Danio rerio: one gene and its partners. The protein of the gene in region 1 interacts with the protein of each later gene in a pairwise test. Links are inferred from orthologs where the notes say so. Each region holds a gene or a part of one and is shown in the gene's direction. Other genes may lie near its edges.

Evidence for each region.
Region 2: the proteins of ntaq1 (region 1) and cdr2a interact in binary tests that used the Homo sapiens proteins (3 or more experiments, as listed by UniProt). The two-hybrid records come from large-scale screens. The link is inferred for Danio rerio from reciprocal best matches to the Homo sapiens genes NTAQ1 and CDR2.
Region 3: the proteins of ntaq1 (region 1) and pcbd1 interact in binary tests that used the Homo sapiens proteins (3 or more experiments, as listed by UniProt). The two-hybrid records come from large-scale screens. The link is inferred for Danio rerio from reciprocal best matches to the Homo sapiens genes NTAQ1 and PCBD1.
Region 4: the proteins of ntaq1 (region 1) and actb2 interact in binary tests that used the Homo sapiens proteins (3 or more experiments, as listed by UniProt). The link is inferred for Danio rerio from reciprocal best matches to the Homo sapiens genes NTAQ1 and ACTB.
Region 5: the proteins of ntaq1 (region 1) and ppcdc interact in binary tests that used the Homo sapiens proteins (3 or more experiments, as listed by UniProt). The two-hybrid records come from large-scale screens. The link is inferred for Danio rerio from reciprocal best matches to the Homo sapiens genes NTAQ1 and PPCDC.
Region 6: the proteins of ntaq1 (region 1) and asl interact in binary tests that used the Homo sapiens proteins (3 or more experiments, as listed by UniProt). The two-hybrid records come from large-scale screens. The link is inferred for Danio rerio from reciprocal best matches to the Homo sapiens genes NTAQ1 and ASL.
Region 7: the proteins of ntaq1 (region 1) and psme3 interact in binary tests that used the Homo sapiens proteins (3 or more experiments, as listed by UniProt). The two-hybrid records come from large-scale screens. The link is inferred for Danio rerio from reciprocal best matches to the Homo sapiens genes NTAQ1 and PSME3.

What each region holds. Positions count from the first base shown.
Region 1 is NC_133194.1:37,454,541-37,458,995, forward strand, and holds ntaq1 (protein N-terminal glutamine amidohydrolase), read left to right. Parts: upstream 1-1,376; coding exon 1,377-1,456; intron 1,457-1,536; coding exon 1,537-1,636; intron 1,637-2,809; coding exon 2,810-2,860; intron 2,861-2,940; coding exon 2,941-3,089; intron 3,090-3,514; coding exon 3,515-3,639; intron 3,640-3,725; coding exon 3,726-3,829; 3' UTR 3,830-3,845; downstream 3,846-4,455. Other genes in the region: psma2b (proteasome_alpha_type_2 domain-containing protein), read right to left, coding at 4,180-4,296. UniProt on the Homo sapiens protein: Mediates the side-chain deamidation of N-terminal glutamine residues to glutamate, an important step in N-end rule pathway of protein degradation.
Region 2 is NC_133178.1:62,633,518-62,637,483, reverse strand, and holds part of cdr2a (cerebellar degeneration-related protein 2), read left to right. Parts: intron 1-1,131; coding exon 1,132-1,369; intron 1,370-3,966.
Region 3 is NC_133188.1:28,937,759-28,942,349, forward strand, and holds the start of pcbd1 (pterin-4-alpha-carbinolamine dehydratase), read left to right. Parts: upstream 1-1,520; 5' UTR 1,521-1,539; coding exon 1,540-1,542; intron 1,543-1,896; exon of another isoform or gene 1,897-2,010; intron 2,011-4,591. Other genes in the region: si:dkey-192p21.6 (uncharacterized protein), read right to left, coding at 145-280. UniProt on the Homo sapiens protein: Involved in tetrahydrobiopterin biosynthesis. Seems to both prevent the formation of 7-pterins and accelerate the formation of quinonoid-BH2. Coactivator for HNF1A-dependent transcription.
Region 4 is NC_133178.1:39,482,389-39,487,048, reverse strand, and holds the start of actb2 (actin, cytoplasmic 2), read left to right. Parts: upstream 1-1,760; 5' UTR 1,761-1,773; intron 1,774-2,998; 5' UTR 2,999-3,088; intron 3,089-4,449; 5' UTR 4,450-4,456; coding exon 4,457-4,579; intron 4,580-4,660. UniProt on the Homo sapiens protein: Actin is a highly conserved protein that polymerizes to produce filaments that form cross-linked networks in the cytoplasm of cells.
Region 5 is NC_133193.1:20,362,098-20,366,725, reverse strand, and holds the start of ppcdc (phosphopantothenoylcysteine decarboxylase), read left to right. Parts: upstream 1-1,565; 5' UTR 1,566-1,717; coding exon of another isoform or gene 1,718-1,801; coding exon 1,802-1,945; intron 1,946-3,583; coding exon 3,584-3,679; intron 3,680-3,851; coding exon 3,852-3,980; intron 3,981-4,066; coding exon 4,067-4,235; intron 4,236-4,435; coding exon 4,436-4,509; 3' UTR 4,510-4,628. UniProt on the Homo sapiens protein: Catalyzes the decarboxylation of the cysteine moiety of 4-phosphopantothenoylcysteine to form 4'-phosphopantotheine and this reaction forms part of the biosynthesis of coenzyme A.
Region 6 is NC_133196.1:33,930,435-33,933,728, forward strand, and holds the end of asl (argininosuccinate lyase), read left to right. Parts: intron 1-39; coding exon 40-120; intron 121-216; coding exon 217-323; intron 324-2,064; coding exon 2,065-2,209; 3' UTR 2,210-2,426; downstream 2,427-3,294.
Region 7 is NC_133187.1:29,023,920-29,028,611, reverse strand, and holds the start of psme3 (proteasome activator complex subunit 3), read left to right. Parts: upstream 1-1,597; 5' UTR 1,598-1,714; coding exon 1,715-1,756; intron 1,757-2,359; coding exon 2,360-2,392; intron 2,393-2,493; coding exon 2,494-2,556; intron 2,557-3,393; coding exon 3,394-3,498; intron 3,499-3,612; coding exon 3,613-3,661; intron 3,662-4,470; coding exon 4,471-4,589; intron 4,590-4,667; coding exon 4,668-4,692. UniProt on the Homo sapiens protein: Subunit of the 11S REG-gamma (also called PA28-gamma) proteasome regulator, a doughnut-shaped homoheptamer which associates with the proteasome. 11S REG-gamma activates the trypsin-like catalytic subunit of the proteasome but inhibits the chymotrypsin-like and postglutamyl-preferring (PGPH) subunits.

The sequences.
Region 1 (4,455 bases):
GGTGTTACTAATGTTAAGTGAAATTGGTTGTGCATTTTTTATTATTTTTTTGCATAAGAAAAGTGTCTATGTTTACACTATGTTAAGTACACAAAGCATTACAGTCAAATAGAAAGAAAGATCATTTTATTAAAAAGTAACAAAAATAAAGTGCAATTTCAACTATTTTATTCGTGGTTTTTCCAGTTCACCAGCTCTCAAATCAGTGGGTCCACAAGTGCTAATGAGATCATTAGTAAAAGACATTCCTAAAAACGAGGTGTTAATGGTGGGCTTTTTCTGATGGCTACACCTCAAAACATAGGTGGCCCTATACATCTTGTTAAAAGAATATGGTTAATATTTGTTGGTTTAGCTTACTTTATAACATCATAAGTATTTGAATGTTATCAAATTTCATTTTAAACAAACACGTTAGCAAATAGTGGATTCTTAAACGGTAAAAGTGTAAAGAGCTGTTTATTTGTGGCTCAGAAATGGGGATTTAGCCTATGAAAACAATAAAAAGTGTAATAAAACAGTTGTACAAGTAAATAAATACATCTCTCAGAATGTGATATATTTAATCCAAAAAAATATTTACCTTATTTTACAAAAGACATCTTGTACGCATATATATTTAGAACATTTTGTGGCTTTTTATGACCAAAGCAAGTGTGAACCAAGACAACTTTTGACAAGACTACATAGTTATTCATTTAGACTATGTGCTAACCTCCTTAATATTAACTCATACTGTGGTTTTGGTAGACAATTTGAATGGACTGATAGTTTGAAACATATTGTCAGGACTCTATAATGAGTGAACATGTATAGAGAAATGAAAGGGTTTGAGATAAACATGCATTAGAAACAGAAACACATTTTCAGTTTAAAACAAAATATAGTTCACAAAAAAAATTTATAGATATCCACAAACATTTATACAAGTATGTGGCAAAAAACGAATTAACGTGCAACAAAATACAATCAGATACTCTGAAATTAGAAACCAATACATTGGCTAATTGTATTGAGTTGAGAACGATGCCTAACTGCACGTTATCTTTCGCTAACGTGTTTTCTACTTATGCTTTATGAAAGTTAGACTGTTTAATATTTATGCTGATAATCGTGCAAGTGCTACATTTGCAATTCACATAAGGAGTGAATGTTCGCGCATCACCTGTCTCGCCGGAACGACAAATCCCCTGAAGTTCCTTACGGACAAGATACATTGTAACAAGCAACAGTGCGGTTGCAACGCGAATCGCTTCATTGTAATATTAATGTAAATATCTATGGTATCATTATACACATGTATTCTTTTGTCATGTCGTTATAACTGGAAGTCCGCGTAAACCTACTGTATATACACGTATATAAGGAAGGAAAGAATGAATGAAGAAAGCGCTTCGTCTGAATATAAAGTGATCACCCCGTCCGGAAACCAATGTGTTTACACCAGCTGTTACTGGTAAATGCGATAATACCTGTAACATTATTTCAAATTTAAAACGTACCGTATTCATACACGTATTTAAATGTTTGTTGCAGTGAGGAGAATGTGTGGAAATTGTGTGAATATATCAAGAATCAGAGACATTGTCCTTTGGAAGAGGTGTATGCAGTATTTATATCTAATGAAAGAAAGAAGGTGAGCTTCATCTCCACACAAGTATTTTACATTTAATGAAATGTACAGTTTTCTGTTATATACATACATACACACACACACACACACACACACACACACACATACATATATATATATATATATATATATATATGTATATATATATATATATATATATATATATATACATATATACACACACACACACACACACACACACGTATACAGTCACCGGTCACTTTATTAGGTACAGCTTTCCAACTGCTGCTCAACGCAAAAATAAGCCAATCACATGGCAGCAACTCAATGCATTTAGGCATGTAGACATGGTCAAGACGATCAGCTGCAGTTCAAACCAAGCATAAGAATGGGAAAGAAAGGTGATTCCAGTAACTTTGAACCTCGAACCTTGAGGAGATGGGCTACAGCAGCAGAAGACCACATGGGTGCCACTCTTGTCAGCAAAGACCAGGAAACTGAGGCTACATTTCACACTGGCTCACCAAAATTGAACAATAGAAGATTGGAAAAGCGTTGTCTGGTCTGATAAGTCTCAATTTCTGCTGCAACATTCGGATGGTAGGGTAAGAATTTAGCGTCAGCAACATGAAAGCATGAATCCATCCTGCCTTGTATCAACGGTTCAGGTGGTGGTAGTGTAATGGCATGGGGGGTATTTTCTTGGCACACATTGGGCCCATTAGTACCAATTAAGCATTGTGTCAACGCCACAGCCTACCTGAGTATTGTTGCTGGCCATGTCCATGCCTTTATGACCAGTGTACCCATCTTCTGATGGCTACTTCCAGCAGGATAACGCACCATGTCATAAAACGCAAATCATCTCAGACTGGTTTGTAAAACATGACATGAAGTTCTGTAATCAAATGACTTCCACAGTCACCGGCTCTCAATTCAGTAGAGCACCTTTGGGATGTGGTGGAATGAGAGAATCGCATCACGGATGTGCAGCCAACAAATCCACAGCAACTGTGTAATGCTATCATGTGAATATGAACCAAAATCTCTTGAGGAATATTTCCAGTACCTTGTTGAATCTATGCCACAAAGGATTAAGGCAGTTCTAAAGACAAAAGAGGGTCCAACCCGGTACTAGTAAGGTGTGCCAAACAAAAGGGGCCAATGAGTGTATATATAGTATGTATGTGTGTTAAAAATTGTGTAATATTTCAGATACCTATTTGGAAACAAAAGTCCAGTCGAGGGGATGAACCAGTAATTTGGGTAGGAACTTTATATGTATAAAAACTATGCATATTTTATGGTAGTCTCTAATTGATATAAAAATGTTGTTTTCCATTTAGGATTACCATGTTATTCTTCTACACGCAAGTAAACAAGGACCGAGCTTCATTTACGATTTAGACACCATTCTTCCATTTCCTTGTTCGCTTGACGTTTATTCAATGGAGGCCTTTCAGTCTGACAAGCATTTGAAACCTGCTTACTGGAGGCAAGTATTATCTGGTCTAATCTGCATTCTACAAAAGATGAAATAACATAAGTGTAACAAGTACTTAATAAATTTATAAAAGAAAAGCACATCATAAAATGTGAGGACAAAATTGAATGAAGATTTTAATATGAATTAGTATTTTGAGGCTGCATTGTTATCCATTTAGTATGGCCTCACATTATTCTTGTTTTAAATATAACTTAGTATTTTAAACTACTGTTACACTTAACTACATTTTAGAGGTCATCTTATGTAAATTGTGGTGATGGACAATAGTCAATTAATTTACTTTTGCATTAAATAATATTATTTTTATATATATATTTTTTAACAAATGCTTAAACTCCTTTATGTCTTTGACCCTTATAATAATAATAGCCAGTCTTAGTTGAATGTAATCAAAGTGTTGTTTGCTCTTTTAGGAAACTTCGAGTCATACCCGGGGACACTTATTTGAAGGAGTTTGCTTCTGATCGGTCTCATATGAAGGACTCCGATGGGAATTGGCGTATGCCACCTCCAGCATATCCATGTTTAGAGACACCAGGTTTGTTTTCTATTGCAGATTTATATACAGTAAATACTATAATTTGATTTCTTCTTCCACTTTCATGTATAACGTGTCCTTTTCAGAATCCAAAATGAATCTTGATGACTTCATCTGCATGGATCCCCGAGTGGGATATGGAGAGGTTTACAGCCTTTCAGACTTTGTTAAACACTTTGGAGTAAAGTAATGCTTTTTTTCCAGCACATTTTTTGTTGTTGTTGTTGAAAAATGTACATAAACAGAGCCTCAGGGAAAGATCCTATTATGATGGAGAATGCTGCAACTAAGCAGGCCTCAAAAGACACATTTATTGACTCTGAAATTATTTTTACTAATTGAACAGTTGGCAATGTGGCTTAATTATAGTCAGGTAGAAAGGTCACAGAAAAGAAAGCCATTGTTGTCATTTGTCGAGGATGTGTATTATTTTTATAAAGAAATCAGTTACACAGATGTACAGATAATAAAAATGCAGAATTTAAACAAACAACCAAACCGAAATGCGAAACTGTGTAAGCAGTTGTAGTGCTGTAGTTTTTAAGCAATTGCTGCCAGGTAATCCTTCACCTCAGCGGGCGACAGTCTGCGAAACCCTGCTTCATTACAAATGCCCACCTCAATGTTGTCTTCTGTCATCTGACCTTCAAAACTTTCCTGTAGATAAAGAGAAAACACTATAATGTAGCCTTGTTGAGATTAACTGGGGTAATTTGATCTTCTCAGTTATTTGAGATGATTGCTGTTTTAATTTTTGACATGCAAACAAGGGAATATATTTTACAATTGTTATCATTATATTATACCATGGGGGTT
Region 2 (3,966 bases), on another chromosome or scaffold:
ATATATATATATATATATATATATATATATATATATATACTTTTTTTGTTTTTGTTTTTTGATACATGCATATATCTCTGTGGGCCTAAATATAAATATAATATAAATATTCATTATATATATATATATATATATATATATATATATATATATATATATATATATATATATATATATATATATATATATATATATATGGGAAAAGTCAGTTTTAGTAAACAAAGTCTGTTATTATGATATTTGTTGTTTAACACTTTAAACTACAGTTTAATTGAATAAATATACAACTTACAATTGACAATATACTTTAGATTTTTTTCTTCTCAAATTTAATTTGATTCCTGTTAAAAGGAAAAATGTGTCCTTAAGGCTTAGTTTATTATTATTATTACTATTATTATTATTATTACTATTATTATTATTAATGATGATATTATTAATATTATTAATGATATTATTATTATTATTATTATTATTATTATTATATTATATTATTTTCTATTATTACTTATATAATTATTATTAATAATTATATTATAATAATTATTATTATGATTATTAATATTATTACTGATATTATTAGTATTATTATTAATCATATTATTATTATTTTTATAATTAAGTATATTGTTGTTGTTGTTGTTGTTGCTGTTGTTATTATTAATTATATTATTATTGTTAATATTAATATTTGTAGTAGTAGTAGTAGTAGTAGTAGTAGTAGTAGTATCATTATTGTTTATATTATTAAAATTAATTTTTATTATTATTATTATTATTATTATTATTATTAATTATATTATTATTATTATTATTATTATTATTGATATTATTAATTGTATTATTATTGATATTAATATTATTATGATTATAATAATTATTATTATTAATAGTATTATTGGTAATATTATTATTATTATAAAAAAAAAATAATTTGGTTGTGATTTTTGATGTTTGATTGTATTTTTTAATACTCTTGCATGTACATTATGAATGTATGAATTTAAAAACATCGTACCTTAACTTTACATTCATAACACTTGTTTTATGATGTGTTTATGATGTCTCCAGTCAGTGAACTAGTTCTGCTACATTGAATATTTCCCTCATGAAATGCCTGTTGTCCTGCAGGAGCTGGACCTCAGAGGGTCTGCATGAGGAGCGGTCGTGGCCTGTGCTTAGTGAGCGGTGTGTAGAGGAGGAAGAGGAGACCTCTACCCTTCAGCACAGCCTCCACAAGCTGAAGCAGCAGCTGGCGACGGAGCGAGCCCGACGGGTGGAGGCAGAGCGAGAGACTGAGCTGACTGTTCTGGAGAACAGTGCTCTGGAGGACCGCCTGAGCCTGCTGGAGGGAGCCCGCCGCAGACAGGTACAGCCTCCACCCGTTAGCGCATTAGCTTGGGCAACCTAAAAATATGTCTTTTTTTTTTTCGATTCGGACGTTTAGAAATGAAACTTAAGAGACAGATGATGTTTAATTTTACTGGTGATTCCAAATATGTAATGAGATCTTAAGCTTTGATGAATTTGATGTTTCTCCGCTCAGACAGAATGCCTGAGCATACTGCCCGAGAGGCGTTTCAAAGATGGCCGCCGAGTGAAATGGCTTCCCTTAAAAGAGACTTTGGTTGTTATTAGTGCTGCCAATCGATTAAAAAAAATTAACTAATTAATCGCACCTTTTTAAAAAAATTCATCGCGATTAATCGCATTTAAAATACTGAAACTTGTAATTTTGGCTATTCAAATGTAAAATTAATGTAAACGCAAGACAAAAACTATTTAAATTTAAAATATAATTGTTTATTAGAATTAAAATTCAAAATATAATTGTTTATTAGAATTTTTGTTTAACTTGTAACACAGATTTCTTCACGTAAACAACATACCCACAATAAACCATCAAGATCCTGGCTTGACAGGATCCCTCCTACCTCTTCAGGTAGCCTATGTCGCACCACTCACCCCCACCGTCCTTCAGGTACGTCTCGAGCGCACACGCCCCTACTCAGATATGTCGCTCACTCCACCCCTGACACCCTTCAACCGGCCTGACACAGACACACACACAACGCGCTGCAGACGTTTTGGCCCCAACGGCCTTCCATACTGGAGCGACTCCCCTCAGATTCAACACGCATGATCACGTTCATCAAATTTGCCTAAACTAAGCGTCCTAAAGTATTACTGTATTTCACAAGGATTCTGACACAACATCGTGAAGCATACGCTTTTGTTGCGTTTAATGAGGAAACATGCTAAACTTGGAGGGTTCATGCTGAAAGGCAGAGTAATGCCCTGTCTTTGACAGCTCGCGACTTCATCAGAGACTTTCTGAGTACATTCGCATAAGACACCAATACTCCGATTTTAATATGATTAAGATAATACTCTTATTAAAATTCTACCGTGTAGCCTAAGCAGTGATTTTATTACCTTAAAGCAACACCGAGTCACGAAATGCGGAGGATTTTCTTTCTGTTCGCCATGCGGTATCAACTTACAACAGATGTCGAAAGTTAAAAATGAAACACCCGAAATTGCATGAAACTCTGGAGAGCCTGGTTATGCGACTAATTGTTTTATACTGAAACTTGCCTTCAAAAAGTGGTTCCTTGGTCTTATCCACATTTCTTGCATGTTGAACACACGTCCACCACAACAGGAAGTAAAAAAAACCTGCAACTGCGTAAATTTATTTTAACCCGTTAATTCAGGGGTGTCCAAACTTTTTGGGCCGAGGGCCAGAAGCAAAAAAAAAAAAAAGTTATTCCCGGGCCATATATTAAATACATTACACAGACACGTGCATATATATATATATATATATATATATATATATATATATATATATATATATATATATATATATATATATATATATATATATATATATATATATATATATGTGTGTGTGTGTGTGTGTGTGTGTGTGTGTGTGTGTGTGTGAATATGTATATGTGTATATATGTATGTATGTATGTATGTAGCCTGTGTGTGTGTGTGTTATAGAATTATTTTAATTTGTTATTTTAATTCATCGTCCAACTGTGTTTCTAGAAAGACTTTCGTTTTTAAAATCTTGAATCTTCTCTGGGCAAATTACACTTGCAACACTCCTCCCTTATAAATTCTCCTTCAGTGAAAGGTTTCCTGTGCTGTGCGATTAGCTGGGCTACATCATAACTAGCCAGCGTAGAATTTTCTTGCACTTTATTAGCACGAAAAAAAACTGCTGTTGTTGAGCTGATAAGCCAGCTGCTATTTGTTTTACTTTTTGATCTCGTTCGGCACCAGTGTAAGAGCTGAAAGCCTGATGATTTATTTTATAATGTCTTTTAATATTATATTCCTTCATTACTGTAACTGATTCCTGGCAAATTAAACAGACACATTTCCCGCTGACCTCTGTGAAGAAATATTCTTTGCCCCATCCTGACTGAAATTTCCTGCACTCACTGTTGATTTTCCTTGTTCTTGCTTGTGCCATGGCTCGCCTAAACCTGATTATGAATTATGTTTCTTTCAGTTTGTTGTTCGGTCCGTTTTACTTCATAACAGGAACTGCTGCCTAATTGAAGGCATGTAATAGCGACACCCGGTGGTTATTTATTGAATTACACACATTTTTGTATAGTGGGCCAGTTTCTATAAAATATTCATAAAAAGCCTTGCGGGCCGCCACAAAACTGATCGCGGGCCGCAGATGGCCCGCGGGCCGTAGTTTGGACACCCCTGCGTTAATTATTTAAAATTAATCGCATGCGTTAGCGCACTAATTTTGACAGCGCTAGTTGTTATATAACATTCCGCCCAATAAAACAAGCTATCATCCATACTTGCATGATACATGCTGCCTTTGTTTGCACTCAGTGATGTTGAATTTGAAATGAAATGAAACAAAAACATGTGGTTGTTGCATAGGCTAATGATGTTTTCTGCAAATGACCAAAGTATTTTTATGAG
Region 3 (4,591 bases), on another chromosome or scaffold:
AGATATTGACTGCCTTCATTGTTAATTCCAAATCTTCTGTTTTACTTTTTACCTCTTTTTGTGCAAATGAAAATAAAGAGAGCTCAAAGATCACTGTACATGTGATTGCAGTGATCTTTGAGATGTGTTGGACATTTTTATTACCATAAGACTCTACATGAAGATTGACCAAAGATTGGCTGGGATTAGTTGCCTGGGAGCAGTCAAAGGAATGTTGGACACAAATAAAATCTGTATGTAAGTGCATTTGAAGATGATACCTCTTACTCATAAATGGCATAAATTATAAAAACACATGATTAAAACAAGTTTTTAGTGTTTAAAAAATTAAACTTGAGAGAAAAAAAATCTTCTTAAACAAAACCATAGGGGGGAAAAGCAAACAAGCAAAAGTGAAAGCAATCGCTTATCATGTTTGTACTCTTTTTATGTTAATTATATTATTTAACTGTGATGCTCTTTTATTACAGTGTGTATAAAAGTGAGTACATCCCTAGCACTTCTAATTCTACGTCTAATTGCTCTTCTAGAGATGAATAAATGTAGATTTAAAAATAAGACCCTGGGTTAATTACTTCACCTAAAGGAATAGTTCAACCAAACAAAAATTTAATTCAAACAAATAAGAAAATAAGGAAATCTGACTCCCATAGTAACGTTAGGCTATTTGATTTTCCAATTGATGTCAATCGTTACAGGTTTTCAACATTCTACAAAATATCTTCTTATGTGTTGTGTTTAACAGAAAATAAAAAAATTAAACTTGTCCAGAACATGAGAGGAGTGACTAAATGGCAAATTTTCTTGGTGAACTATACCCTAATAAGGACTTTTTGACATTTTTATATTAGTTTTTTTTATCTAATGTAAATAAACAACCCTTAATGTACATTTAATTGTGTCACAAATTACCAACTTATCTGCAGATTTCTATTACAATTGTTTTTTTTTCAATTAAGTTACTCAAATAGCTAACGTTATACGAGTGCTGTTATGGCACAGTACATTAAAATATCCTTTCGTATTAATTACGAAAACCTTAGTTATGGCTGATTTCTAAAATGAGATAGTAAGCCCTAAATACAATATTATTAAGTATAATATAATATAATATAAATATAATAAAGTAAATCCTCAATACATTTTGAAGGCAGTATAAGACAAAAAGAAATCACTGTTTTTGTCACCTGACGACCTGCATGAATGCTCGATAAGTTCTACTGCTAAAGTTTGTTCACGGTTTAATTATTATCTCACTGTGTGAAGTCACCCAACTGCATCACAGGCCTCTTCAGTTCAAACACTTCTATTTCGCTCAGGCTTCTGGCAGGGCAGCAGAAACAGGGCCCATAAATTAATATTAAATAGCGCGTCGTGACGTTTCCCGGTGAGCATCCAATCACGCAATGCAGTTAATATTCATAAGACGTTCCTTCACCATAGTAGGAATCGTAAACTCACGCTCTGGCCACAGGTTGAAATCCATTCCAGCCGCTTGACCGAGACAACATCAGCGCTGCGCTCACAGCACCCACAAACATGGTAAGAAAAAACAAATTACATATCTATTGCATTCTTATCGTCCGTACCATTAACAAACTATTTAAAGTCTTTGTCCATACTCTCAACATGCAAGCATGGAATTTCCAAACAACATGCCTCTTTACACTATATTGGGTTGAACAATGTTTATTTATTGTTACTAAAATGTATTTTAAAATATTATATGTATTTTTATAATACTATTTTATTCATTCTTCACCTAACATTCAGTTGGTTGAGTTATTATTATTTTTTATTTAAAATATATACTATAAAATATAGTTAAAAGCTCATTATATAACATTCATGTTCATCATTTGCACTGTTAAGTGTTTGAGATGTCAGGTCTTTTACCTCGCTGTGTGTTCGCTCGTGCATCAGCATTAGTTCAGCAGATTAGGCTGTTGCTAAGAGACCTGTTGATGTCAGTCAGCTTTATCAGCGTTGGAGCTTCATTTTGACTGACATGTGTTTGCACAGACTCTTTGACGCAATATACTGATGATGGTTCAGTCTGGGACAATAGTGTGTGTATAGCACAAAAGAACACGCTGACACAAATCATCTTCATTTCCCTTTCATTCAGTAAAAAACCATGAATGCTGGGGAAAGCCTGTTGAAATCTCGTGTCATCTTCTTTATTAATGCTTTTTTTTTTTCTTGTAAGAGACATGTGTTTGAAGCTCATGTGATCTGTACTGAAAGTGGGAAAAGGGGAAGGGTTAAGTTGCTTAGGAATGTCATTGCCTCGACCAAATATGCTGGAGGCTCTTAAAATTGAAAATGCAAGTCATCATTGTTTCCATATGGGGTTCACAACAACCAATCACTGTGCTTTTTCTGAAACATCCCCATTGGAGTGTTTGTAAGAGTGTGTTCGTAAAGCTGTTTAAATAGTATCTGCTATATGTAAACAAACTATTGGTATGTACAAATAATTAGCAATCAATAAAATCTAATCTAATCTATAGGTATAGTAGGGTTTAAAATTTAAAAGTGTGTGTGTACTGGAGAAGTCTGTACTGCTCAACAAGCCGGCATTTATTAAATCAGAGGCAGTCAAATTTTGATATGTATTTACTGTTTTCTACTTGATTATATTTTAAAATGTAAAATATTCCTGTAACTTAAAAGCTGATTTTGTTAAAGCGGTGGTTCACTTTGATATCATGTTTTAAACTTTAGTTGATGTGTAATGTAGCTGCGTGAACATAAACAACATCTCTGAATGTAATTCAGCCAAACTTCAATGAGACATTGGCTTTTACAGTTAGCTTACCAAAGCCTACAGTGAGTGAGAATTGTGGGGACTACAAAAAACATCCATGTTAGTGAGATCACGAACGCTTCAGGTTTCGCGCATTCACTACACGCAGCAAAAGGGCATGGCCTGAGGTGCTGTAATGTAGCTGAGAAAGCTAAAATGCTGTCCAAAATGCTACAGGGCTTGTTCTGTTTCTGTATTTGGGCTTCCTAAGGACATGACACATATGTGGGCTTCCTAAGGACATGACACAAAGAGAAAAGTGCTTGCAATTGAATTTTAATTATGTTCTAGAGAATTATTAAAAATATATATAGCCAGTATTTGACAAAGGACAGCTTCCAGAATCATTCCCAGTTCAGTGCTGGATTCCGATAAAAACTCCTTAAAAAAGGAGCAGCTCCAACCATAATAGAAGAAGCTGTAGATTGTGAGCCACAACCTGTAAGCATTTTTAATATTTGTTAAAATTGACCTATTACACTGTAAAAACCGCAACAATCAATGTGTTGGGACAACATGAAGGAATTAAGTTAGCTTATTAGTTTTTACAAATTTAAGTAGATTGAACATAAAACAATTAAGTTGTCCCCAAAAAACTCATGAATTGTGTTGTTTAAGCTCGTTTTAAATAAGTAGTTTGAACAAACTGCAAACGTCATTTTTTGAGTGTACATGCATAGTGTCTAGCGTTAACAGTATTTTGTAGCATGGACGTAAACATGGATGTAAACAACAGGAAATGCTGATAGGCACCTTTAACAATTTAGCTACAAATTAATATTTGTCAGTCAAAACCCTGTAAACACCCACAATCTTCAGTAGCGCTGCAAGGCCTCTCTATGCGGCCGCTTTCCCTGCATTCTACATCACAAATGATGAACTCACAAAAGACATGTAAACGTTTCATATTACTTGCACATGCTTATTCTGAATATATGTGAAAGTCAGATTTTATTTTAGAGAGCAGGCCTGAGGTTCAGCTGTGTCCTCTGTGTCATTTTTCTGTCTGATTCAGGCACAAACTGATACGGCTAACAGCTACTCTGACTGACAGTGTTTATACATCGCAACAGTGCATGCTTGTTAGGACGTGATGCTTTTCCTGGTGGTGTGAAGCCGATCTGCGAATCACAGCACATTATGTTAGCTGACCAATCAGAGCCTCCTGAGGGCGGGCCTTTCAGAGGAACTAGGAAATTTGACAGTCGTTTTTATGTTAGCTGAGCAGCTGTATATAATATGATAATATATATAAATAACATGATTTTCTACAAATGAAGCATGAGCACACATTGTTTTGCATCTTATAACCGCTACCAAGCCTTCAAAATACACGTTGGACCACTAAGCATAATTACCCCAGAGAAACGATTGTTTAGATATAACGTCTAATACACTTTAAAGGAGTTCAAAGAGTTGTAAAGACATTTAAAATGTTCTAGAAATAAAAGGGCCTTCATTAGGGCTGCACAATATTGGACAAATGGAATATTGTGGTATTTTAGGTTTCTGTGATTTTATGTATATTGCAATATACTGTATCTAATTAATTTCACCAAATGATTAAATAGCAGGATTTCTAGTCACACTTTATTTTAAAGTTCAATTCTCGCTATTAGCAAACCATTACCTATGACTTTTGCTCATAATTTGCTTCTCAACAGATATTGAGTTAGTTTAGCTATTGGGTTAGGGATGTAGAAAAAAATCATGCATATTTTGTACTTTATAAGTACTAATAAGCAATATTTTAATAACAGTCCCTAAAGTGTTATCAAATGT
Region 4 (4,660 bases), on another chromosome or scaffold:
TCGATTACCGATTAAACGTGGACATTTAAAGGATAAGTTATGCTTGCGCCATCACAACTTTACACATTACATGATCAAAGATCATATTGAATATTCGGTTTATTCGTCAGAAGCCTATAGATTTGTTAAAAGTGTATTTTATAAACGGATGGTTTATAAAGACTAAGCTATTAATATATCAGACATTCATTAATACATCAAGACATCGATGTCAGGTAGGACAACAAATCACATCCATGTAATGAAATCTTGTTGAGTGGTATTGGTGCGTGGTTTCAGCATTTCATGTGCAATACGAGTAAGAATATTTTAACCAAGTATCGACCCAAAACCTGATACTGGTATCGGTGCATCCCTTATTATTATTATTATCAAAAACACACTTGTTTTATTTATGTGGGTGCCAAACAACAAACTATGAAATGCAGCATGACACGCCCAAAAAGTGTTCCTTTGAGAACAACTTCATAAATATGTTTCTTATCATTATGCATGAATGGTGTACTGGGAGAGCTTTGGTATCAGAATTGAGATAAGAGACTTTGGCATTCTAAAGGACAATGACATTATCACACTGACAGTCAACAACACTTTATTGCTCTGGAAATCTTATGTCATGGGGCAAAGCTGAGGTTCATTAGGACAGTACCTTATTTAGAGATGAATGGGAAGGCTGTAGTGGGCTGCTATCAGGGAAGGGTGGTGGTCCTCGGGGGAACTATGGACTCACAAAAGCACATCTGCTGTAACAAGATCCCCTGTGCAATCTACAAAAGTTACAAAGAGAAGCATGGTTGGTTAAAAAATAGAATTGACTGGATATGCTGAATGCATTGTTTGTTGTGTGTTACATCACATTAACCACAGATTGGTGCTAAATATTTGCTTATCTTATAAAAACCTGTGTGTTTATAAAGGGGGGTGTGGATGGATGCTTGGCATTCTTTGAAAAGATGTTGGGGGATGGAAGGAGGAGACCTTATTGATGAGTATCCAGTTTGCAGATAACAAGTTTTTAGACATTCATACTATGATGCTGTTTATGTCTGTTTTTTCTCATTTTTTCTATACACAAACAGCTATAAAACATTCACTTTTATATCTGATGCTGTATATTAAATTTCGTTGTATTTATTCTGTTTGCTCTGTTGGGTCATAGCTAGGGCCAGACAGAATCTGCTGACATTTTTTGCTTTTTCTGCAGAGAATTTTGTAAACAATCTGTGATTTATGCGAGATTTTTTCGGGAGTATCGTAACTAAAAACTTACTATATGAAATAAAAAAAAATAATACCTTTTTAACTTTTAATAAATATATACAATGCAAGTCCACCTAGATCCAATTATTTGGTCGACAAAGCAAGTCTCTCACATAATATATCTTCTAAAAGACAGAAAACATTACTTTCAGACCATATTGTAATCAAATGAACACTTTCATATTAGTCAATAATATTACGGAAATGTATTTAAAAACTGAATAAACATATATTTACACCTTTGTCTTTATTTCTAGAGTGCTTTTACAATGTAGATTGTGTCAAAGCAGCTTAACTTAGAGGATTAGTATAGTAAATTGAAACTGTGTCAGTCCATTTTTTAAGAGTTTAAGTTCAGTTCAGTTTAGTTCAGTGTGAGTTAATTTTTACTGCTGAGAGTCCAAACACTAAAGAGCAAATCCAAATACACAAGTCAATAAATAAACTCAATGATGGGCTAAAGATCTGGGGAAATCTGCAGATTTCTGTGCGCACAGATTCTGTGTGGGCCTAGTCATTACCTATACTCAACGTTTACTCTGAGAAACTTCCATATTTTAGAGGTAAAATGCTCAGAATTGTAAAAAGTCTTGTCAAAATACTTGGAATTTGCCAAAAACAAAATAAAAGTCACATCACCTCATTGTCCTTGGTATCAGCAAGCACTTTTAACACAATCAGCTGTTTTTGTTTATAACTCCCACTGAAGGCCATGTGCATTACTCCCAAGTTACACAGTAAAAAGTCACATGTAGTTTATCATGATCACTGCTGCTCAAGCACAGCTTTATCTGTTATTCAGTGTGGCAATATCTGAAATGTGTGCAAAATATTATTTATTGTAGCTGATCACCAACACTTTCAGTGTTTTTTTTTTCTACTTTTAATGAGAATTATGTTCTTAGGATTTATCCTTATAAACCTCTTTAAAAAGAAATGTTATGTCTGCATAGACACGACATGAAATTATGAACAGAAAATTTAACTATTTAAGATCAAGACTTGACATATAACATTTCTAATGAACATTAAACCTGAGGTAGGCCCACTTGCAAAAATGTAACTGCTATCACTCACTTTATACATCATTGTGTAACTTGTACACACAAAAATAGTGAAGCAATGTGGCATGGAATGCAGGTCCCATTCATTCAAAGTTATTAAAGCACTTTCTTAAAGTGCATTACTACTGAGCTAAGACCAGCTAGTTGCTCATACAACATACTACAAGTAGTGTCATCCTAATTTGGATAAAAAAAATGTCCATTTTATACATGGAAAAGTACTCATTAGATCCCCCATTGTTTGTATTACGGTATTTCGTGAACACAAGAGGTAAATGACCTACAGAGCTGCTGTTGTGTTAGATTGAAAACACAACACAGGATCATGGAGGCATCCATCATTATGACGCATTCTGCCACTTGTAACTCTGCACAGACTTTTTGAAAAGTTTAATTGAGTCTTGGCGTTGTCGCAGAAAAATACGAAAAATTCTGTGTTAAAATTTGCAAATAAAAATTCCAGTTTTATAGGAAATCGCCATGGCCTTGTTCTTTAACCAGTTAAGCTTCCCCTTCTTTCACTCTCAAGTTGCAAGAAGCAAGTGTAGCAATGTGCACGCGACAGCCGGGTGTGTGACGCTGGACCAATCAGAGCACAGAGCTCCGAAAGTTTACCTTTTATGGCTAGAGCCGGGTATGTGCCGTCATATAAAAGAGCGCGCCCAGCTTTTCAGCCTCACTTTGAGCTCCTCCACACGCAGCTAGTGCGGAATATCATCTGCTTGTAACCCATTCTCTTAAGTCGACAACCCCCCAAACCCAAGGTGAGTTGGTTTTACAGTTTTTAAGCGTTTAATTATAGTTTCTATCTATTAATGTTAAGTAAAATGTGTAAATGGATAAATATGATTTGATGAAGTCTTTAGACAGTTCATAACGGTCTCTTTGTAGTTATCTACTAGGTTTGATTTATAAGTGGTGGTTCTTTTGATAATCTATGTTACATTTAATAAATATTGGCTGTATCTTAACTTTTTTGTAGCGTTAGTGGATGTGGCAGGTGAGAATGTCGGTAATTTAACGTGACCAGTCGTAGGCACGACATTGAACATTGAATAGGCCGGTGTGAAATGGGTGTTAAGTCTTAATATAAAGTTGTGTTCTGGCTAATCTCTCTTTAACAGCCATAAATGTGATTTTTAACTACAGTTTTGAGGGTGCTGGTGAGCATGTTGCACACTTGATGGATAGCCGGCATGGGAAGTTCTTTGTGCAGGCAGTGCTGCAGCAGGGTGTGACCTACTTTAGCTAGCCGGCTAACCAGCTCTCATCTGATGTAACGTAAACCCCATCAATCTAACATCGGCTCATTCGTGCTTTATAAGATCGAAGATCTTGTTATTAGTAACGGGTATTGGCATTTAGTTTTAACTTGGTTAATTTTCTTTTTGTTATGTGTTCTATTTAAATGTAGCCTGCAGCCCCCTCTGTCTTTAATGAAGCTGAAGATTAACGTTAACGTTAGTGAAGTGTTGTATCCGCTATGAAAGATTTGAATTTTAGAGGTGTGGTCCACTTTAATAACGGCTGCGGAGTTCTCTGGCTGCACTTCAGCCGCTGTGACTGTCGAAGCAGAGCCCATCAGTTTTTCAGGATCTCGGTGATTTTTGAGGCTAGACTATGAACTGAACCGACTGAGAGTGACCGTCCAGAAATGCTTTAGTGTGAAGTCTCCGCTCACGAGGAGTCCGTGGACTGACTGCAGATCTGTGACGCAGTAACACCCGGCGGCAGACACCCGTTGAAATGCGGTTGTGTAATTGATCGCAGGCGAGGGTGGAAGAGGATGTGAAACTTCATTTGTGTAAAATTTAGGGAGTGGTCCTGGTGTGATGAATGTCGAAATCTGTTCCTTTTTACTGAGCCCTACGACTCTGGCTGAGTGCCACACCGCCGGCAGCCGCAAAGCGGCTCAAACCATTGCCTTTTATGGTAATAATGAGAGAATGCAGAGGGACTTCCTTTGTCTGGCATATCTGAGGCGCGCGCTGTCACTAGCGCCCACCAGCGGTCAGACTGTAGAATGCAGAGCAAAACAGGAAGTTGACTCCAGATGGTCACATGCTTGCTGAAACGCCTCTCCCTGGCAGCAGTGCAATTCTAACAGTTTCCCTTTCTTTTACAGTTCAGCCATGGATGATGAAATTGCCGCACTGGTTGTTGACAACGGATCCGGTATGTGCAAAGCCGGATTCGCTGGAGATGATGCTCCCCGTGCTGTCTTCCCATCCATCGTGGGTCGCCCCAGACATCAGGTGAGAAGACCGATTAGTTTGATTCTGACCCAAACTGAGAACTTTCTCAAGTAGTTCACAAAATGTAACGCTTGTGTCCTT
Region 5 (4,628 bases), on another chromosome or scaffold:
AAACCGCAGCACCCTGAGGAAACCCATATGAACATGCAAACTCCACACAGAAATGCCCAGCCAGGGCTCGAACCAGCAACCTTCTTGCTGTGAGGCAATGCCCCATATAGGCCTACTTAAGTGTAGAAACTACACTCACAAATTTGATAGGGTTCCCTTATCAGAGAATTTTGGTTTGAGTTATCCAAATTCTTTGTTTCAAATCAGATATTGTCTCAACACTGTGTAAGATAATTTGATGTTTTTCCAATTTTAATTATAATATATAAAAGCAAATTTTTAACAAAACCAAAACAATTTTCTCTCTGACTTTTTCTGTCAACACTAACAAGCAGTTTGCTAAAATGTAGAAAAAGTTGAAATACTATTTGAGTTTTTCCATAAATAATTCCATAATGAATCACCTTTTTGTGTTTTTCTTTATAGCATTTTATGTCTTTTTGATTAGTTACATACATTATTTTCCTTTTCTTTATTTATTTATGTGTGTGTCCTCTTCTTTATCTTACACTATTTATGTATTTCATTGCACAAGACTTTAAAAAATGGGCAAAATTAGCTCAGATACTCAGATCATTAATCAAAGTGTCAACTCAGAGATACAAAAAAAAAAATAAAAAATGTAAACCTAGTTCCGCTTTTCCTTTCAAATACCTTGGAGGCCTTATTTGTTCATGCAACCTGCTTTGACTCCCTGTTTTGTTCGCCTGAACCCCTTATTGCATTTTTAAAGGTAGCAAGACCATTCAAGACCAAGCAGAACAAAGACTATAGAATTCAGTTAAAAGTACTTTGATCTGAATCATTATTTTGGTTTAGAGTTAAACATTTTACAGGGATAAAAAAGATGAATAAAATAGCAAATCAGGCAACATTTTAATAACGATTTAATTAATGTCTGGCAAATGGTTTGCCGGAGAATTTTAGCAACATTATGAGCTAAATGAGTACCATAAAATACCATACACTGTAGATTTATACACTTTTAGGCATTCATATATAGGATAAATCTCCTGTGAAGTTTTTATCGCGTCACACTTGTTATTGGGGAAGTTTAAATCATATTTCATTTTCATTGAAAATGCAAAAGGCGATACGGTGGCTCGGTGGTTAGCAGTCACCTCACAGCAAGAAGATTGCTGGTTTAAGTCCTGGCCAGGGTCAGTTGGCATTTCTGTGAGGAGTTTACTTGTTCACCCCCAGTCCATGTGGGTTTCCTCCGGGTGCTCCAGTTTTCCTCACAAGTCTAAAGACATGCACTATAGGTAAATTGGGTAAGCTAAATTGGCGGTAGTGTGTGTAAATGAGTGTGTATGGGTGTTTTCCAGTAATGGGTTGCAGCTGGAAGGGCATTCGCTGTGTAAAACAAATGCTGGATAAGTTGGTGGTTCATTCTGCTGTGTCAACTCCTTATGAAAAAAAGGGACTATGCCGCAGGAAAATGAATGAATGAATGAATGCAAAACTCTTGTGTGTTGATTTATCCATTTGTCAGCTTAACTTACTCTTCCAGTCAGAGGAGGCGCTGTGACGTCGTTTATAACCGCTTTTACGCCAATGTTTACGGAAGTGGACAAATCCTGAAAAATATGCGACGGTTAATAACGTGCACCGCTTCTTAACGCGCAGTAAATGTGTAATATAAATGTCCAAAATGTCTTATCCGAGAAACAGTTTACATATTGACAATACATTATATAAATAATAGTTATCTTATATGAGGAAACTTTGTTCGGGTAGTTCACTCAGTCTAAAGTTAAAGCATTATACTTTAACAAGTATATTAAATAGTGTGTTTATAATGCAGCAGAACTCTGAATCTGATCATTTACAAACAGACTTGCAAAAGACTGGTTCAAGATTTCATGTTCTGGTAGGTTTGACCGGCAGTGTCGCTGCACTCAAGGCGCCTTTGTTGGTTAAACAACTTCTTGAGATTCCTGAGGTGAGTATGTTTACATAGACAGAACAAAATGTAAATCATTACTGTCTTAACCTGACAGAGACACGGATGTCTTTGAGTTCATGTTCTCCAATGTCTTTTCATTTCATACATTTGTCCGCTAGAGAGTGCTATTTCTTTAAACATTTTGTTCAAGTTATATTCTTGTCGTCTATTGTAGTCTAATAAATGAAAAATGTAAAAGAAGGAAATGGTATTAGTTTAATTTTATCTCAAATAAGCAAACATACACAGGCTCGTTGGCAGCCTCGTAAAAGGGGTGGTTCTTTTTTCTCAAAAAGGGGACCTTTATGCAGTTATTCGCCTCATCTTCTATGTAATTGTTTGATCTATATACCTCATATTAGTCATATTTTTAGCAATATTTTTAGCTGGATTAGCCTGTCGAATGGTCATCACTTTTTGATCTATCAAAAATATAAAAAAATACTAAATACTAAAAAAAAATATGAATAAATACCTATTCTTAAAATACAAATGTTCCTCCAATATCATTAAAAAATGAGTCTGTACTGTAACCTATTGACAAATAACAAATTTGTAATTTAAAAAAAGAACCAATCAGAATTTGTCCATTTACATAATAATAATAATAATAATAATAATATTATAAAGCTTTATGAATTTTCTAACCTTTCTCATAAGTATTCGAATTAATTCAATATGGGCTTCTTTTGGTGCTTCACACTTTTTTTTTTTTTTTTTTCAAGAGTAGGTCCAAGATTTAGAATAAAAGTTACTTCCTAAATGTTTTCTCTATTTAAACAATACAGTAGGTCAGTACTGAAAGTCAGATTGCATATATTCTTGCACAGCTGGATGTTGGACTCAATATAAAAAAAGAATTGTTTGCATTGGTCAAAACCAACTGATTAGCTGAAGTCACACAGAAGCAAAAGCCAGCAGAGAATTCCGCTGCGTCTTAAAGCCTTTTTAGATGATTTGTTTAAACAATTTATGATGGCATAGCAGTCAAAATAGGACAAATGAGCTCATGTATGGAACAAATAATGAACAATTGTCAAGTGAGGTGTGGGCCTTTAGAATTACCCAAACCCCTTTGGCTACAAGCCTGTATACAGGTGAATTGTAAATCATTACCCTACGTTTGTTTTGATGTTGGATATTGTTATTCTCCCCATTTAAGGGTTATAAAAATTGATGAAAAAATGAATACTATTTCTAATGAAAAATGAAAGTTTAACCTGTATTTAAAATCATAGTTGTTCAATTATAAAATCATATTTTTTAATTTCTTTTTTGACATTCAAAAAAGCTATTTCTAAAAGACTTTTTTAAAAGAGAGCATTTTCAGAAAATGAAAAAACAACATTTATCTTTTCAAAACATTTATTAAAAATAAATATAAAAGGAATGTTTTTCAGGTTGTAATTTTCTTTTATTTATTAGACCAATTAGTCAGTTTTATGAAATAAATAATAAGTGACTAGAAAATCAAAAACAAAATGTTTATATAACAGCTTTATTATAGTTATTATAACCCTGTTCTTAACTTTTAATGTTTTTTAAACGGTTTTATATATCTCTTAAGAGTAACTCAAGTTTCAAAGATGGGTTCTCTGTGAGGTAACCAGACATTTGTCCTGTTCTGTTGTTCAGGTTGATGTGCGTGTGGTCACCACAGACCATGCCACTCATTTTTACGATATCAATGAAGTCCCTGTTCGTGTGTACACAGATAAGGATGAGTGGGAGGTGAGTTTTACCTTTAAAGGGGAAGAGATTCTTTTTCACTGCAAACAACAACTTTGTATTTGTGTTCTTTCCTGCTGTGGTGTTTACATCAGTACCTAGACTAATCGCATCATCTAAAAAAGCTCCTATAAGAGGATTTAAATTGACTGCTTTCCTCATATTTCTATGCTAGATGTGGACAAAGCGCTCTGACCCAGTTCTTCACATTGAATTAAGACGTTGGGCAGATCTTTTAGTGATCGCTCCACTAGATGCCAACACACTTGGCAAAATCGCTAGTGGTATATGTGACAACCTCCTGGTAGGTAATTTGTTTATTACATTCCAGTGGCGTTTTCAATGTATGCGTTATCATCGAAGTGTGCTTACCAGTTTTGTTTATGGCAGACGTGTGTGGTGCGGGCCTGGGACATCAGCCGCCCTTTGCTCTTCTGTCCTGCTATGAACACAGCCATGTGGCAGCATCCAATTACTGCTCAGCAAGTGTCCACAATTAAAGCATTTGGCTACGCTGAGATACCATGCATTGCCAAAAAACTCGTCTGTGGAGATGAAGGTATCTTCTAAGATACAGTAATGGTTTTATGAGCCAGTTGCATTGATAAGGACTACTTCAAAACAATGTGTGAAGTCACACATGAATATTTTGTTAACTAAAGATCAAACTGATTTGATAATTAGCATGCTTCTTGATTATAAGAAAGTGATGTTTCATTGGTTTCAGCTCATGTTACAGTTTGCCCTCTATTTTCACAGGTAAAGGTGCCATGGCTGAGGTCTCAACTATTGTTGATACTGTGAAACAATACGTCCAAAGTCATCCCAAGTAAACTCAGACTAAACCTACTCATCATCGATGAGGAGACACAAGGTTATCTAAACAATAAAATCTATATTTTAAACCAAATTTACAAACAGACTATTTTAAATATATTTGACATTGTAATAG
Region 6 (3,294 bases), on another chromosome or scaffold:
CTGCTTGCAGTATGTTATATTTTTCTATTTTTTTTTTAGGTCAATCAAGCAAAGATGGAAGAAGCCCTCAGTCCAGATATGCTGGCCACTGATCTCGCCTATCATCTGGTCAGAAAAGGAGTGAGTACAGAAGGCTAGATATTTTTTTATAATAAATGCTATTTGCATTGGAGCAGAGCTGAATGAAATCTGATGTTTGTTCATGTTTTATTAAAGATGCCTTTCAGAGAGGCTCATGGTTGTGCTGGGAAAGCTGTCTATATCGCGGAATCTAAAAACATTCGACTGTCCCAACTCACTGTAGAGGACCTTCAGACGGTCAGGTTAGTAATGGGACAAAGATGGAAAATAAAGATAAATGAGGTGAAAATAGTTCAATATGGTTTTAAATACCCCCCATACCTTCGAATGTGTTTCTCAACAACAAAATGAAATGATTATACATTTTTATCATGATTTTTAACCATTAAAATATAATTCAATGTAGCAAAAGTTTATATATTAAAATATCTTCTTGAAATATTTAGAACAAGAACTATTTGATGATATATTCATATCAGTGCAGCCCCAAAATACTGACTGATAGTAATTTTAAACATTTATGCTTGGCCACAATAGATCAGAATAAGTATGTTCTTTCATTTGTACATAAATATATTTCTTACACTGTTGGTATTACAGGACTTTTTGCTTCTGACGTACAAGGGGCCTTAAAAATAACAGTTTGAAGCTATGTTCATGAATAATTTCTGTTTGCTGTTTTAAGAATGGGTATTTTGGGCGAAGAATCCCCTTAATGATTAATGGCAAAAGCAAAGTTCTGTCCATCATTTTTTGGGAAATTTAATTCAGTGTAACAAACCATTCCAAACTTCTGATGCTGCGATTCTCAGTCTATAACAGTGGTAAAATTATTTTAACAGTTACAACCCTCAATAGTATTTGTGTTTGTGTCTCCTTGCTAAGACTGGTGCTCCAGCTACTGTACCTGCAGTTAGCTTTTGGCATTGCCTGTAGTTTTTATGGGCATAAATGAATCTAAAATGAATCAATAACACACACACACACACACACACACACACACACCCAAATGCATTGCAGTATTGATATTATCACGTTTATTATGCATTTTTTTGGTATTAGACATTCTTCATCTATCTGAAATATTATTATAAACTATAAAATTGCTCTTTAAAATTATTATGTTTGTTTTTTTTCTCTCTTTGGATTTCCTATGAATCTTTTTCTTCTGAAAAAAGTCTTACTACTTTATTTTGGTTTTAATAAAAAATATATATTTTTAAAAAGTAAAAACTGCTAAGGTCAGTATTTTTAACCCTCTTAAGATTTTATTGTTAATTGCCTGCAGAACAAACCACTGTTGTTCAATTTACCTAGTTAACCCAATCAACGTTTTTAAACCTTTAAATTACACTTTAAGCTGAATACAGGTATCTTGCAAAATAACTAGTCTTTATGGTAATGACAAAATATTTTAGTTATTAGAAATTACTTATTAAAAATAGTATGGTTCAAAATTGCCGTAAACCTTCTCTTATTTTGCCTTAAACTTTATATAATGTTAGTGTCATTCTGTGAAAATCTGCATTAATGTGAATGACAAATGCATTACTTATTAGCTCATATTACAGGTTATTAACTGGACGATTATAGACCATTTCAATGTGGTCATGAAATTGGCCCATGAACATATTCTGCTTGTTATCAAACTGTAACAAGAGGCAATTCAATCATGACTTGCCATCAAAAAAGCCATCATAACATTATTTATCAATATGTGGACCTTTTTAGATTCTTAAAAGCTATAGAAAATAAAAAATGTAGAACAGGAAACACATAAGGACCACTGTCTTTGTTTACATCCCTTAGGATGGTCTATATATCAGTCTCTGAGCTTGTGTGTCTGTATATATTTGTAAATGCATTTTACTGCAAACAAGGAAATGGCGTGTCTCATTTTTGACCCAGGCACATTAAAAAATAAAGGCTTGATAAAAGCATATGGAATGAAAATCAATCTGTTTATTTCTGTTTTCTTTTCAGCTCTCTTTTTGACAAGGACGTTTCTTCAGTGTGGGATTACGTCAAAAGTGTTGAACAGTACAGCGCCCCCGGTGGCACATCGAAAAGTAGCGTCACCGCTCAAATCCAGCACTTTAAAACCTGGTTGCAGGCACAGAAACTGTAACAATAGTCTCACTTTTATTAAGGTCAATGACAGGTGCTCTTCCATTGATGAATTTTGCTTATTATGCCTACTATTGTCTCTTATTCCATCAGAAATGGAGGGGTTTTTCCTGTGTGATTTAAATGAGTAGAGTTTCACTGGTTCATGATGAGGGTTTTATGACAAGCAATATGTACAATGAAATAGTTTCAACTCAATAAAGAATTACTTTAATAAACAGTGACTTCTTTACTGTTTTATTTACATTTTGGAAACATTTATTATATACAGCTTACACTCCGCATGCCCTGCATATATGCACAGTGTTTACATGTTTATTTTTCAAGTGTATGTCATCAAATCATAGCTATGTTAAACACTTAATTTACAAAGTTCTCCAGCAAACATTGGAGAATAAAAAACACTTCCAGGTTTTGAAAATCATGAAATTATATTTAAGCATGTCGTTTTGTTTATTTTTGACTTGGACCAGCCATTAATTTTATATAAAAAATATGATTAAACCTAACCCCAAGTGTTCAAATAAATAAAAAAGTATTTTCTTTACAAAAATATGAAATGCAGATGTTTCGTAACTGAAGGATTGTGTTTTTGAGCGAATCAGTTAAGTCAGTGATTCAGTGATTAATCCCCAAAGATTCATTCTTTAACGAATCTGCTGTCTGAGTGATTATTTGAATTAATGATTCAATGATTCATTCAATAGGACAGTCAACTGATGCAACCTGTTATTGCATTTTCCCCAACATTTCATATTTGTATATTAAAACTGATTTAAAAAAAGCTCATAGCATTTCTTTTGGATTACTTAAACGTGAAAACATTTATGTTACATTTGAGCTGCGTTTAACTGCATGAGTAAAAATACAAATGGCACTTTAGCCTGTTCACTTTTCTTTGGAGTGGAAAAATAGCTCTTACTGATACTGAATTCAGTTGATATAATGTAAAGTGAATGTAACTTTGGAAAAACACATCAAAACATTAAAGTCAAGCTCTGGTTAAAGACAATGCAAAAGTAATTGAAATTGAAGTCTTCTTAACTTTACAAATGAGCCACATTCAAATGCAAACTCTTTTGTTTT
Region 7 (4,692 bases), on another chromosome or scaffold:
TTAAACAAAAATGCAAAGATGATATAAACCCGTAATTAAACTGTTATTATTTACCTCTTCGTTGTCCTCGTCAAAATATTTCACTTGAAAATGGCTCAAGCCGAAAGTAGTTTTAATCTAAAAGTTATAAACAGAAAATGTAAAGAAGGCACAGTAAGATTAAAACGAGAACGATATTTTACATCGTTAGTGTTTATTTAGAAGCTGTCATCTGATTTATGGCCGAACAGAAAGGTCAAGAGCAAATAATAGATATTGCTGCAATTTACATCACTGTGGATTTTAAAAGAAGACCCAGCTAAAATACATGTTAAGACATATTTTCTATGACAGGATTAAAGAATTTGCCTGTACGTTATTCGTTTTTAGCATCCGGTTAAAGGTTTGTTTATGTAGGCCTCAGCTACGGCCTTGTAGGACCAAGAAATGTAAACGTCCCCACATAAACGCCACCCAGCAAGGCTTAATGACTCCTTACCCAGGCCTCCACAGTCTCCCACTGTGCTTTGTTCGTGTCCAAGACTGGAAATTTCTTCACGTTGCCCCTAAAGTTCACTTTGACAGTGACGGGGAGGTTCATGTCTGTGAGCCAGAGTCAACGGAAGCGTTTGATGAGGGGATACGACGCTCTAAATGCCCGTGGTGCTGTCAACACTGTGAGACTTGTCTTTTGCGTTCTTGTTTACATCGCTAGATTCAGACACGCCTCCAATGTACGTCACAGGAAGTGTCTCGGATTTGCTTACGTTCGAACAAAATATTTTTATACTTTTTATCAAATATCAAAATAAAAATTGTTCAATGGTAAGCGAAAGCTTTTAATTGTTCTTGTGGGTACTTATATTGTGATTTCATCAAATAATTTATGTACAGCGAGAAATATGACGCAGACATGCGCTTCACTCTTTTCCAAGTCGTCAAGAACATAGATATATCAAAATACATAGATACCGTGTTAAAAGCGATATTCACGTCAGGGATCAGATTTACCTTTTAAAGAGAGAAATAGAATTTGTAGCCATAATGTCAAACTCTATTACTAGTATTATTCTTAATGTTCTATTTTATTATTATTACTTACAAGAACAACAGTGGTAATAATAAATAAATAAATAATGGTTTATTATGATTATTGATTGATGATTGTTGATGTTGTTCTTGTCATTTATTTTCATTATTGTTATAATTATTACTTAAATTACAGTATCTCTGTTATTGTTTGTTTGTTATTTCCCCCATGTTCATTAATATATTCTATTAACCATAAATTTTTTATCTAATTTGCAATTAATAAACCAGCTAAATCAAAATGACCTGACCTTTTCATCAGCGAATAAGCCCAGTTTAAACTGGGTCAGCAAACCCCAAATGTTTTATAGTAGCCTACATCAAACAGTCCATACTTTTGATCCAGCACAATTCACCCAACAATGTGTTCAAATAAATAACCCAGTACTTTTTTCAGTGTCTATTTAGAATACAGCCAAACCGCACACGAATAAGCTGCGTTGTCGTTGCATTAATTCGACTGAATTTGGTCACGAATGCCAGACTCTTTCTGCACATCTATCATGTATTCGCATCTATGGCCTCTGTGTTTTACGTCATCTAAAAGCGCGCAAGTGCCTTGTGGCTGACAGCAGTTAGTAAGCCACACGGTTAGTTAATGCTTTTAGGACAATCCCTTCATTTTCACATTTCTTGAATTAATACGATGTCTTCGCTCCTGAAGGTGGACAATGAAATCAAAACAAAGGTAAAAGTCTTAACGTTTCTTTTATTTAAACACGCCGCACTCAAATAAACTGTTTGTAAATGTTAGCATTGCGGCTAGCCGGCTTGCCCGTGAGTCACCTCGTGAGCACATCTGCTAACTTTCAGATCCAGATTTGCTTGTAAAATCAAACAGTTTTCAAATAAAATATTGATTTAAACGTTAAGTACGTTCGGATTGTATATATCAGATCACCAAGCTGAAGCCGAAGCCCCCACATGTTCGGCGGAGTCGTTGTTAACAGCGGGTGTGCGGATGAAGCGTGTTTTTAGCACAGCAGCATGTCGTTACGGGAGAATTGGAGAGAAGTTTGCCATCGTTTTTTTCCATTAGCGAGCTAAAAGTAATTTTTAATATCTACTTATTTTGTCAAAGGTTTACAGTTAAGATCATGAGGCTAATAAATTAATCCAGCGGGATTGTGCAGTTCTACATTCAGCGCCCTAAAACAGAAAGGCCGCCAGCTGTTTTGTTTTCTTAAAGCGATTTTATTAAAAATAATAAAAGCAGTGACTGCAAAATTCAGATTGGGAATTGCCTTAGTTGTGTTTCTAAAATTACATATTAATGTTTTTGTCTTGTCAGGTTGATGCTTTTAGAGAACGAATTACATCAGAGGTAAATTAACGGAGATTACATGTATAAATTATACATGTATTATTTATATACCGACATTTCTTTGACTATTTGACACTTATTGTTTTATTGTTGACATATAGGCTGAAGACTTGGTTGCAAACTTTTTCCCGAAGAAATTGTTAGAACTGGACCAGTTTTTGAAGGTAAGTGTTTGATGGTGGTTTATGATCAGGGTTTTGCTTTGTCTCTCTTCAGATTGAAGGCAAAAAGTCGTAAATTGGAGCAGAACGTTTTAAAATTGCAAAGTCTTGATTAAATGCTGCATGCACTTCAATGATTTGAATGATTTTTAGTTTGTTGTCCAGGACAAAAATCTAAACGTCCTTCAATTAAATCACATTGACTTGTTATGAAAAATTATTTTTTTCATTGTAAATGTTAAAGAAGAACTTTAAAAATCTCAACGGCTACATATCTTGAAATGAAAAGTCAGACTTTTGAGAAATCAAACTTAAATAATAATGCTTAAAACAAGTTTCTGCAGTTTTTTTGTTAGAAGTTCACTTTACTTTGGAAAAGTTTTTCAATGAGAAAACCCAACCCAAAAAGTTGGTGTGGCTAATACAGCCCATGGTCTAACACAGGAGACTGTCTTATATTTTTTATTATTTTTGTAGACTGAAGTAATTGACAGCTATGTTTTGTTCTGATATTTGTAAGGGCTTTAGAGTTTGTGAATGGATATATTTGACAATTATTTAAAAAAATCAAACTAAATTATTAATATTATAATTGTTTTGTTAAATGTATTACATTACAAAAAAAGTTATAGGGCAACTGAAAATCTTTTCTAACTGGGATATTTAAAAATAATCCTTAGCATTTGTAAAATTTTGCAATTTAATTCGTAATGGTCTAAAAAAATCTTAAATTTTACTTGGTGAAACCCAGATGTTGTTTTAAAAGGGGCTGAAACCCCAAAATGATGCATTGAGTCTTTTACCTGTTGTACAAACACTCATACATTTGATCACTTGTAGGATCCCACAATTAATATCACGGAGCTGCAGGAAATTCATTCAGAGATCAATCTGACAGTGCCAGACCCAATTCTGCTTACAGACATCCACGATGGGATTGAGGGGGTAAAAGTCATTTTCTTCAAGTGTCTTCTTCATTAGTCAGTCATATCATCTATTGATGTTGATCAAAAATCTCTGAATATGATAAAAAGATAACCTTGACATTTTTCTCAATAGCAAAATGCTAAAAAGAGGAAATTTGAAGATGGAGCAGGAGACGACAAAGGTGGGTATTGTCTTTAGTTTACCAAGTTAAACAAATATGTTTTGAAAGTGTGCAGTGTTGATTGTCAATGATAACACATACTTGTTTTATTAAATGCTCATATTGAAACTGGGAAATATTTCATTCTGTTTTTTATATTTATGCAAAGAATATTTATATTAACTATAAATAAATATTTATGAGCAATTCTCAGTGCAACACTGGTGTTTTGGCCCTGGGTGAATGTATTTTGCATTAATCATTTTACTCTTCCTAAAGACAGGTTTCAATTCATTTAAACTTTTTGCTGCCCCTACTGGCTGTTTTAGAGTTGTATTTGTATAATCATGACTGTGTTTTATTCATGACAGGCCAAACACTCTGCAAAATACTGTTGAAATTTACTGGGGGAAAAAATAAAAACGGAGATCTTGTTTGTTTGTTGTTTTGTTTGTTTTTCGTTTGTCTTTTTTCCTCTCTTTTCCATGTGCTCTGCTGTGCTGACAGATCCAGCCCTCACTCTTCTTTACATTATACTAAAGTTCCTGTTTGTACAGTGTGTCTTAAAGTATTAAAAGTTGATCAATTAATGTAGAGAAATTTAAGGCCCTCAAAGTGTTGAATGCTATTTTGCAAGGTATTACATTTTTTATAATTTTTGATTATACAATGTATGGTTTTATGCTAAAGTTTGCCTGAATTCTGTGAATATCGGGATGCTGTGTAGTTTATGAAATCATACTAGATTTGATATCATGCTGCTTTATTGCAGTAACCAATGCAACACTCTCTGATTTCACTCTCTGATTCCTGTATATGCTCTGTTGTAGTTGGCGGGACCAAGGTCTTTGTCATGCCTGGTGGAATGATGAAAAGCAATGGCAAGCTGGTGGAGCTGATTGAAAAAGTCAAGCCTGAAATCAGAACTCTTATGGAAAAATGCAACACAGTACGTTGATAGTCTTGTGCCATCTTTCACTCAAGCGTGTTAGGTAAATGATTAAATAATTTTCCCGTGCTCTTCTAGGTCAAGATGTGGGTTCAGTTGTTAA